2 linked regions of the Sus scrofa genome follow. The protein of the gene in region 1 binds, or shares a complex with, the protein of each later gene. Links are inferred from orthologs where the notes say so. Each region holds a gene or a part of one and is shown on either strand. Other genes may lie near its edges.

Region 1 (4,016 bases):
TCTCTTAGAGGTGCACGAAACGGAAGCATTTTGTAACAAAACATGGCAGTGCTCACATGAGGATTAGCTGAATGAAAGTGCCTAAAAGTCCTTACAACAGGGCAAGACGTGAACAGTGCTCAGTAGTACATTTTGGTGATTGTTGAAAACGACAATGATGACAATGTCGACAAAGGTGATGGTGGTGAAAGTGGTAAGTATCAGCCGACTGTGGCTTTCTGGTGCAGGAACTCACTGGAGAGGACCCTGGGAGGCGTGGGGAGAGTTTAACAAGACTCCCAGGAGATTCGAATGTAGGTGGCCCACACTTTAGAAACGTGGTTCCACGGGCAGACGGTGTTCATTTATGTGTTATTTGCAAAATAAGCAGTTAGGCCGAAAGTGCCCTGGGTTATGTCTTGGAAATTGGGGAAACCTCCCAGGAGCTGGGGCGGAGGCGGGGCGGGGCGGGGCTCACCTTGGCAGCCAGGAGGTGCCACGCCTCCTCATCCGCGCGCACCAGGCGGTAGTACAGGGCGTCCCCGCTCTCCAAGCAGGGCGAGCTGTCCAAGAGGCGGAAGTCGTGGCCGGGGCGGCAGGGGCCGGGGCGGCCCCCCAGGAGCCGGGCGTGCAGCCGGGCGTGCACGACACGCAGGCCTTCCAGCTGCCTGGCCTCCAGCGCTGCGTGCACAGCCTCCGGGCGGTGCAGGTCGTGGAGGGAGAGGCCCAGCTCTGCGTCCAGCGAGCAGAAGGGCAGCTCTGCAGGCGGACGGGCTGGCTCCACCCTCTGGTCGCCTGCCCTGCTCTCGTCCACACTGAGGGATCCCAGAAGCGGCTTCCGATGCTGCCCTGATTGAACAGGGCTGGGACTGGGGGCCTTGTGGGTGGGCAGTGACTGGGTCCTGGTCAAGGTCTTCTTGGGCAGGGGTGGAGGCAGGGGCTGCGGGTCAGCCAAGGGAGGCTCCGGTGTTCTGGGGCGGCAGGGCTTGGAAGGCAGCAGGTGGGCACGGACCTCACCTATTGGGGGAGTGGGGAGGGGCTTGAGGATGCCCAGAGTGTGTGGTCCTGGGCCCACGACTCCAGCCTCAGCTTTGATTCCCTCATGTCTAAAATGGAAAAAATACCAGCCAGCCCAACGACCCTGTGGGTTAAGAATGCCCTCTCCAGTTTACACATGAGGAAACGAAGGTTCAGAGGAGGGACAGGTCAGAGGCAGAGAAACATCCGGCCCAGCATGGGCGACCCCCACTTCCCTGTGTGGCTCTGGCCAGGTGACTGAGCCTTTTTGAACTCGTTTCCTCATTTTTACAAGCTAGTGAAAGCCAGCTATTTTTTTTTTCTTTAAACAAAGAGCTTATTAAAGATAATTTAAAAGCTGCTATAATCAAGTTAAACCATCATTGGGCAGAGCATTCTTTAGAAGGTAACGAGAGACTTTACCTCTATGCTCTGGCTGCCTGGGACAGCCACTTGTCCCATATCCCACCCAGGGCCCCACCCCAGCGCTCACCAAGGTTGCTGTACGTGGGCTGAGTAGGCCAGGTGGGGGTGTTGACCCCGGTGGTCTTAGTGGGTGGCTCCGGGTCACTCATGCTGCTGGGGGAAGGTCAGAGTACAGGGCATGTGTGGGTGGGGTCCTGCACCTGCTGTGTGGCCCTGGGAGGGTTGCTTGACTTCTCTGGGCAAATGTCACCCATCAACTTTTCAGGGCAATGGAAAGTGCCCTGACTCTTTGTGACATGGGCAGGACATCCAGCTGTGAGGGCAAGAGGTGTGGGGGGGGAGGGGACAGCTTGAGGCTGGTGACAGTATTCAGGGACCCAAGCTTAGGCCTTTTCCCCAGAGCTCAGCCCCCTTCAGCTGTGCAGTTGCCAACAGCAGCCCGGCCCCCAGCCCTGCCCCACCCAGATTCCAGGTCACCCCAACCTTGAAAACTGGCCATTTCTGCCCCACCCCACCCCCTCCCCACCCCACCCCCTCCACCCCACCCCACCCCCTCCAGGAATGGCCTACCTTCAGGACTGGTGTGACCTTGGGGCAGGGAGGGGGGGCCTTGGGTGCAAACTCCCAATAGCTGCAGCCCCTGGCCTGCCGGACTGTCTGACCGGTTGCTGGCAGTGAACCGGAAATGCCCAGACAACTGTTAGACCGCAGGCTGGGGCAGGGGGGGGTGCTTTATGCATTACTTCCCCATGACTGCTGGCCTTGGTTCCAGGGCTACAAGGGATGGGGGGAGATGAGAAGACTGGGAGAAGTCCTAAAGTTTACACAAGGTGGGCAGTAGGGGGGAACTCAGAGAGACAGAGGGAAGCAAGACATTTTAGACCCCTGTACCTTTGGGGAGGGCAGGGAATTCCAGCAGCAACTGTTTAAGGAGAAGTTTGACTGGGTGACCCTTCTCTCTGAGGTTTTCACCCCTCCAGAGCCACGTCTCCCTGCAGGACTGTCTGAGAAGCCCCCAGTGCAAGCACCCCACTTCCTGCCAATCCTAGGACCCTTGGACTGGGAGCAGTTTGCTGCCTAAGCACCAGCTCAGCTCCAGCTCAGCTCTGACTTGCTGTGTGACGCTGGGCAAACACCACCCCTCTCTGTGTTCCAGCAAATAAAGAAAAGTGGTCCCTGCTTGCTGCCTCTTGACAGCCACACTAGCTGGATTTTTCATTAACGTGTAATCATCTCACTTCCCTGTCCCCACTGCCTTAATGCATTTATTTAGAAAAAGACATTCGAGGAGCTCCCATTGTGGCTCAGGGGTTAACGAACTCGACTGGCATCCATGAGGATGCAGGTTTGATCCCTGGCCTCATTCAGTGGGTTAAGGATCTGGTGTTGCTGTGAGCTGTGGTGTAGGTCCCAGACAAGGCTCAGATCCCACGTTGCTGTGGTTCTGGAGTAAACTGGCAGCTATAGCTCCAATTCGACCCCTAGACTGGGAACCTCCATATGCTACGGGAATGGCCCTAAAAAGACAAAAAAAAAAAAGAAAAAGAAAGAAAGAAAAGAAAAGAAAGAAAGACATTTGAGGAGTTCCTGCTGTGGCTCAGTGGAAATGAACCCAACTGGCATTCATAACGATGTGGGTTCGGTCCCTGGTCTCACTCAGTGTGTTAAGTATCCAGCTTTGCCATGAGCTGTGGTGCAGATGTGGCTCAGATCCCCGTTGCTGTGGCTGTGGTGTAGGCCAGCAACTGCAGCTCCAATTTGATCCCTCGCCTGGGAACTTCCATATGCCACAGGTGGAGCCCTAAAAACCAAAAAAAAAAAAAAAAGAAAAAAACATTTGAGATAGATTTACCATACTGGAGAATTCCCTGGTGGATCAGCAGGTTAAGGATCCATCGTTGTCACTGCAGCAGATCAGGTGGCTGCAGTGGCACGGGTTTGATCCCTGCCCTGGGAACTTCCACATGTTAGCAGGTGTGACCAAAAAGAATTACCATACATGGAAAATCAAGAATGGTAAAAACCTGGGAAAACCAGGCAGTGTGAAATTCTAGCTTAAGCACACAGTGTCCAAACTGTTTGGGGAGTTCCATTTGTGGCACAGCAGAAACGAATCCGACTAGGAACATGAGGTTGTGGGTTCGATCCCTGGCCTCGCTCAGTAAGTTAAGGATCTGGCATTGCTATGAGATGAAATGTAGGTTGCAGACGTGGCTCGGATCTGGCATTGCTGTGTCTGTGGCTATGGCTGTGGCATAGGCCGGCAGCTGTAGCTCCGATTAGACCCCCAGCCTGGGAACCTCCATATGTAGCAGGTGTGGCCCTAAAAAGCAAAAACAAAAAAACAAAAAAACCACTGTTTGGGGGCCTAAGGCTCACCCTGTTGGGCTGCTGTCAGGAAAGACAACCTAGCTGCAAACACAGCCCCTCCCCCACTGTAATGACGACCCAAGAAATCACTGCAGATGCAGACATTTTTGCTTTGTAGTTTGAGATCTTTCACGCTCAGGTTCTTCCCTGGCCCCCTCTCATTTCCCTCAAGGGCAGTGAGCCCAGAGAGGGCTGTAGTCCACACAGGGTCACACAGCAGGTCC
Region 2 (4,046 bases), on another chromosome or scaffold:
GACAAAGCCAGATCCTTAACCCACTGAGCCACCAGGGAACTCCTAGAATGGGGTTTTGAAAAGATCATTTCAGGGAGTTCCCATTGAGGCTGAATGGGTTAAGAACCTGGCATTGCAGAGGGCTGCGGAGTAGGTCACAGATGCGTCTCGGATCTGACGTTGCTGTGTCTGTGGCTTAGGTAGGCAGCTGCAGTTCTGATTCACCCCTAGCCCAGGAACTTCATATGCTGCGGGTACGGCCCTTAAAAGAAAAGAAAAGAAAAGAAAAGATCATTTCAGCAGTTGATGGGAGCAGGACTGGGGGTAGCGTGAAGAGTTAGAAGTCTATCATTAAGCTAAAGCAAAGGAGAAATGACAAAGGCTTATCTATTTACTCTGTTCTATTTCGTATCAGACTATAAACTCCAAGACAGCAGGGCCACGTCTATCTTGTTCTTGCTGTGTCTCCAGCACGAAACAAAAAGTCTGCTTCATAAATATTCGCTGAAAGAATGAATGAAAGGGAGGCAGTGGAGGTGAGGCATTTTGAAGAACTGGGCTTAATAGTCACTGGCCTTGGCAAGGGCAGAATGGTGATAAATGGTGAGAGCAGATGGGAATGGGGTGGGGGGTGTCGTGGAGCCTGGTTCCTTAAGATTCCTTTAAGAGCTTGGGTGAGGGGGTATTCTATCACGGACACAGGCTTCCAAAAAAAAAAAAAAAAACAACACTTCACAGGTCTAATTCCTGGCCTTCTCGGTTCACAAAAGGAGGAAATGATCAGTATTTTGAAGGACTGAAGGGAGGATTAAGGAAAAATTTAGCAAAAATTTCTGTCCTTCCTTAAACGCAGTGTTTCCAAAGCACACAGCAAAAGGGGACTAACTTCAACCTCACTCAGTGACGATGATTTTTTGGGTGGGGTGGGAACCAATGACCTCAGAGACTCTGGGCCCGGCCAGGGCGACTCCCTAGCCTAAGCCTCAGGCCCGCCCAACCCCAAACCTTGCCCAGCCCCCTCGTTTCCACATGTCGCTTTTCTAGATTCCCCCCCTCAGCCCCGCCTCCACTCCGCCCACCTCCTTTTTCAGCTCCCCGCCCCCATTTCCGTCCCCCTACACCCGCCTCCTCCTAGCTCCCTACCCCGACCCCCGCCCTCCCCCCGGCCGCAGCATCCCGGCCCTTAGCTCTCCTTCCTCCTCCCTCTGTCCGCGCCCCTCTCGGGCGGCCGGGGCAACCCCGTGCCCTGCTCACCCAATGAGGAGACGGCTCAGGGGCGGGGCTCGAGCCGAAGCGGAAGTGGTGACCGGAGCGGAAGTGGAGCCGCCGCCACCGCCGCCGCCGATTCCGGAGCCGGGGTAGCTGCTGCCGCCGCCGCCACTGCAGCTGCCGCCGCTGCCGCCAGAGGAGTGGGCTTGGGAAAGAAGCGGTCACCGCGCCGGGAGCTCCGCTCGCAAGCTTTTTTGCCCCCTGCAGCCCTCCCACGGTGAGTGCGGCGCGGGGTCCGCCCGGGGCCCCCAGGGGCCCAAGCTCCAAACTACCCCCCCCACAGGCGGCGGCTGCAGCAACGAGGGCGACCCGCAGGTGGGCCCGGGTGGCAGCGGCGCGCGGCCTGTTCAGCCCCGTGCGGCCGCCTGCGGCGCGGGCTCGGCCTCGCCGCGGCCCCTCCCTGTTTCCGGGGCCGGGCCCTTAGCTCTGGGAGAGGCCCCGGCCGCCCTCGCCGCCTGCGGCCCTGCCCGGCGGGCGGGGTGCGGCTCTGTGCCGGGCCGGAAGGGAATCGTGTCCCGGACCCCTGACCGCCCCTCATCACCCATCTTCGATTCCCTCGAGACCCCTCCCTGCGCCTTGAGCAGCCAGAACCGACCCTTTCAGCCCTGTCACCCCCTGCGCCTCGCTTTCCGGTTCCCAAAAATGAAATTTAACCAAATGCAGGCGAGTTCTTGAGCCGCAATGGCCCTGCTCGACTCCCTCTGGATGGGTAAGGGGTTTAACCTTGGGAGAGAGCAGAGAGAAGACCCCCTCCCACTTTGCAGTAAAGCCATTTCATCATCGTTCGCTGGTGCGGGAGCCTGACAGAACCCGAGATTCCCTAGGAAGCACAGGGTTGAGGTTTGAATCGAGAAAATGCGTTTGGTGGAACCGGTTACTGAGTCAGGCCGGACCCCCAGAAAAAAAAAATAAATAAAAAATGTCAGAGGTTGAGAATCGGAATATTTTCCCACGTTATTTCCCATCATTTAATGCCAGAGTCTCTTTTGTCCTCGCCCCAAATTCCCCTATACTGTGGGCTAGCACGTTTTTAGGACTGAAATTTGCCCGGTGGTGGAGAAGGGGTGGGTGTGATTAGGCCCCTTTTCTTCCCAAGATGAATACATCTTTGTCTCTTGCAAATGGAGAACTCACGTGTAATGGGGCTTTCAAAGGCGGCAGTATTGGTAAGACAGTTTGCCAACCTTTCTGTGAAAATTCATGTCTTTTGTCCTTGCCGTCACTGCTTTTCCCTTTGGTAAGGCTAGATGGCATCAGGTTCTGATTTTGCTTGCCCTGTGTGGGAGACGGAATTTGGCAATCAAGCGGCTACAGGAGCCAGAACAGAAGGATGAAGCACTTGGAAGAATGTGAAAATTGTCTGCATTTCTCACTCTGTCTCAGTTGTTCACATGAAACCGCACACGTATGTGGTTTATAGAACCAGACACGTGGGTACTCAGTTTTTTGCATTTTCATGTTAGAAATTTATATATGTTAATATTACTTGGTTCTTGGTCATTTCCTTCTTGACTGCTTCCAGAGCACCCCTTTTCTTATCTAGGAACGTGTCAGGGCCCTCATTTTTCTTGGATCTGTGTTCTTAGCACAGGTGGTGAGGGTAATATCTGTCAATTTGACTGGACCCAGGTTAGAATTGTACAGGTGATCTTCACAGTGGAAGGCTAATAATAATCCAGAAGCAACTGCTGAATTATTTTCCTGGTCTCTCCTTTCAGTGAGATAAGAAACCATTCATCCATCTAACCCACGAAGTCTTTATGAGAAATAAGATGCTTTGGCCTAGACCACACACCTGGTTTTCAGGTTGAATATCCTCATTCATCAGTAGCAAATATTTATGGCCCGTCAGCCCCTGGAGTATGGCTCCTACCCTATAATCTTCTGTACATTTCCCATCATGCAGTGCTTGCATTACATTGAAGCCATTTTAGAATTGGAGCTCTGTAGATCTGGAAGCAGCCTGCAGAAAACCAGGCTGAGCAAATTCCCACAATGCCAGTTCTCAAGGCAGAGTCTCCAGAGATTCGGGCCGCTGCAAAAAGTGCATTTTACCCATTTGGCTGTGGCTGTTGAAGCAGAGAGAGCACTGGACTTGGAGTCAGGTAAATTTGATTCCAGTTGTGTTTGCAGCATTTTCTAGCCGTGTGCAGCTTAATCTCTGCTGCTTGGTTTTTCTATCTCCAGAGTTGTCAAGAGACTTTCTCACAAACTGTAAATTGTTAAATATAAGCCTCTAGTTTTGTGTTTGAATCACAGGGTTCACTATTAAGGGCTTTCTTTTTGCCTTGATTACATTCTGAGGAGACCCAATCCTCTTTGTATACATGTTGCTTTCAAAGAATGATACATCATGATAAAATTGAACTTTGTGTAGAGCCTCTTCAGCCTTTTCTGAGCCCATTTTCTCATCTGACCAGTGCCAGTGGTAATAGTGTTTGATGTGTTATTGCGACAGACTCAATAATTAAAATCAAGGTGTGAGATCTAACTAGATGTTTGGTAAATGTTTTGATTGTATTCATGAATATTATGCATATATGGACTAGCTACCATTTATATGTGCTGAGTGTTGCTCTCAGCACATACACATTAACTAAGCTTTCATAACAACCAGTGGTAGGTAAATACTGTTAGCCACATTTTACAATTGAGGAAATTGAGGCACAGAGAAGTTAAATAATTTCCCTGAGGAGATGCGCGCGCGCACACACACACACACACACACACACACCTCTCGCTGGGTAGGTGTTGGAGCCAGGAATCAAAGCCAGGCAGTCTGGCTCTAATGATAGATT

What was found. The genes of interacting proteins can lie anywhere in the genome.
Region 2: the proteins of C2H19orf35 (region 1) and YWHAB are in contact, whole or in part, in a cryo-EM structure (PDB 8DP5), measured with the Homo sapiens proteins. The link is inferred for Sus scrofa from reciprocal best matches to the Homo sapiens genes PEAK3 and YWHAB. Residues at the interface, in NP_940934.1 of Homo sapiens: Arg66, Thr67, Gln68, Ser69, Leu70, Pro71, Thr72, Arg73; in NP_003395.1 of Homo sapiens: Val48, Lys51, Asn52, Arg58, Lys122, Arg129, Tyr130, Gly171, Leu174, Asn175, Val178, Glu182, Ile219, Leu222, Asn226, Leu229, Trp230.

What each region holds. Positions count from the first base shown.
Region 1 is NC_010444.4:76,283,947-76,287,962, reverse strand, and holds the start of C2H19orf35 (putative uncharacterized protein C19orf35 homolog), read right to left. Parts: upstream 2,801-4,016; 5' UTR 1,993-2,800; intron 1,736-1,992; exon of another isoform or gene 1,576-1,735; 5' UTR 1,572-1,575; coding exon 1,490-1,571; intron 997-1,489; coding exon 458-996; intron 1-457.
Region 2 is NC_010459.5:47,296,774-47,300,819, forward strand, and holds the start of YWHAB (14-3-3 protein beta/alpha), read left to right. Parts: upstream 1-1,246; 5' UTR 1,247-1,465; intron 1,466-4,046. UniProt on the Homo sapiens protein: Adapter protein implicated in the regulation of a large spectrum of both general and specialized signaling pathways. Binds to a large number of partners, usually by recognition of a phosphoserine or phosphothreonine motif.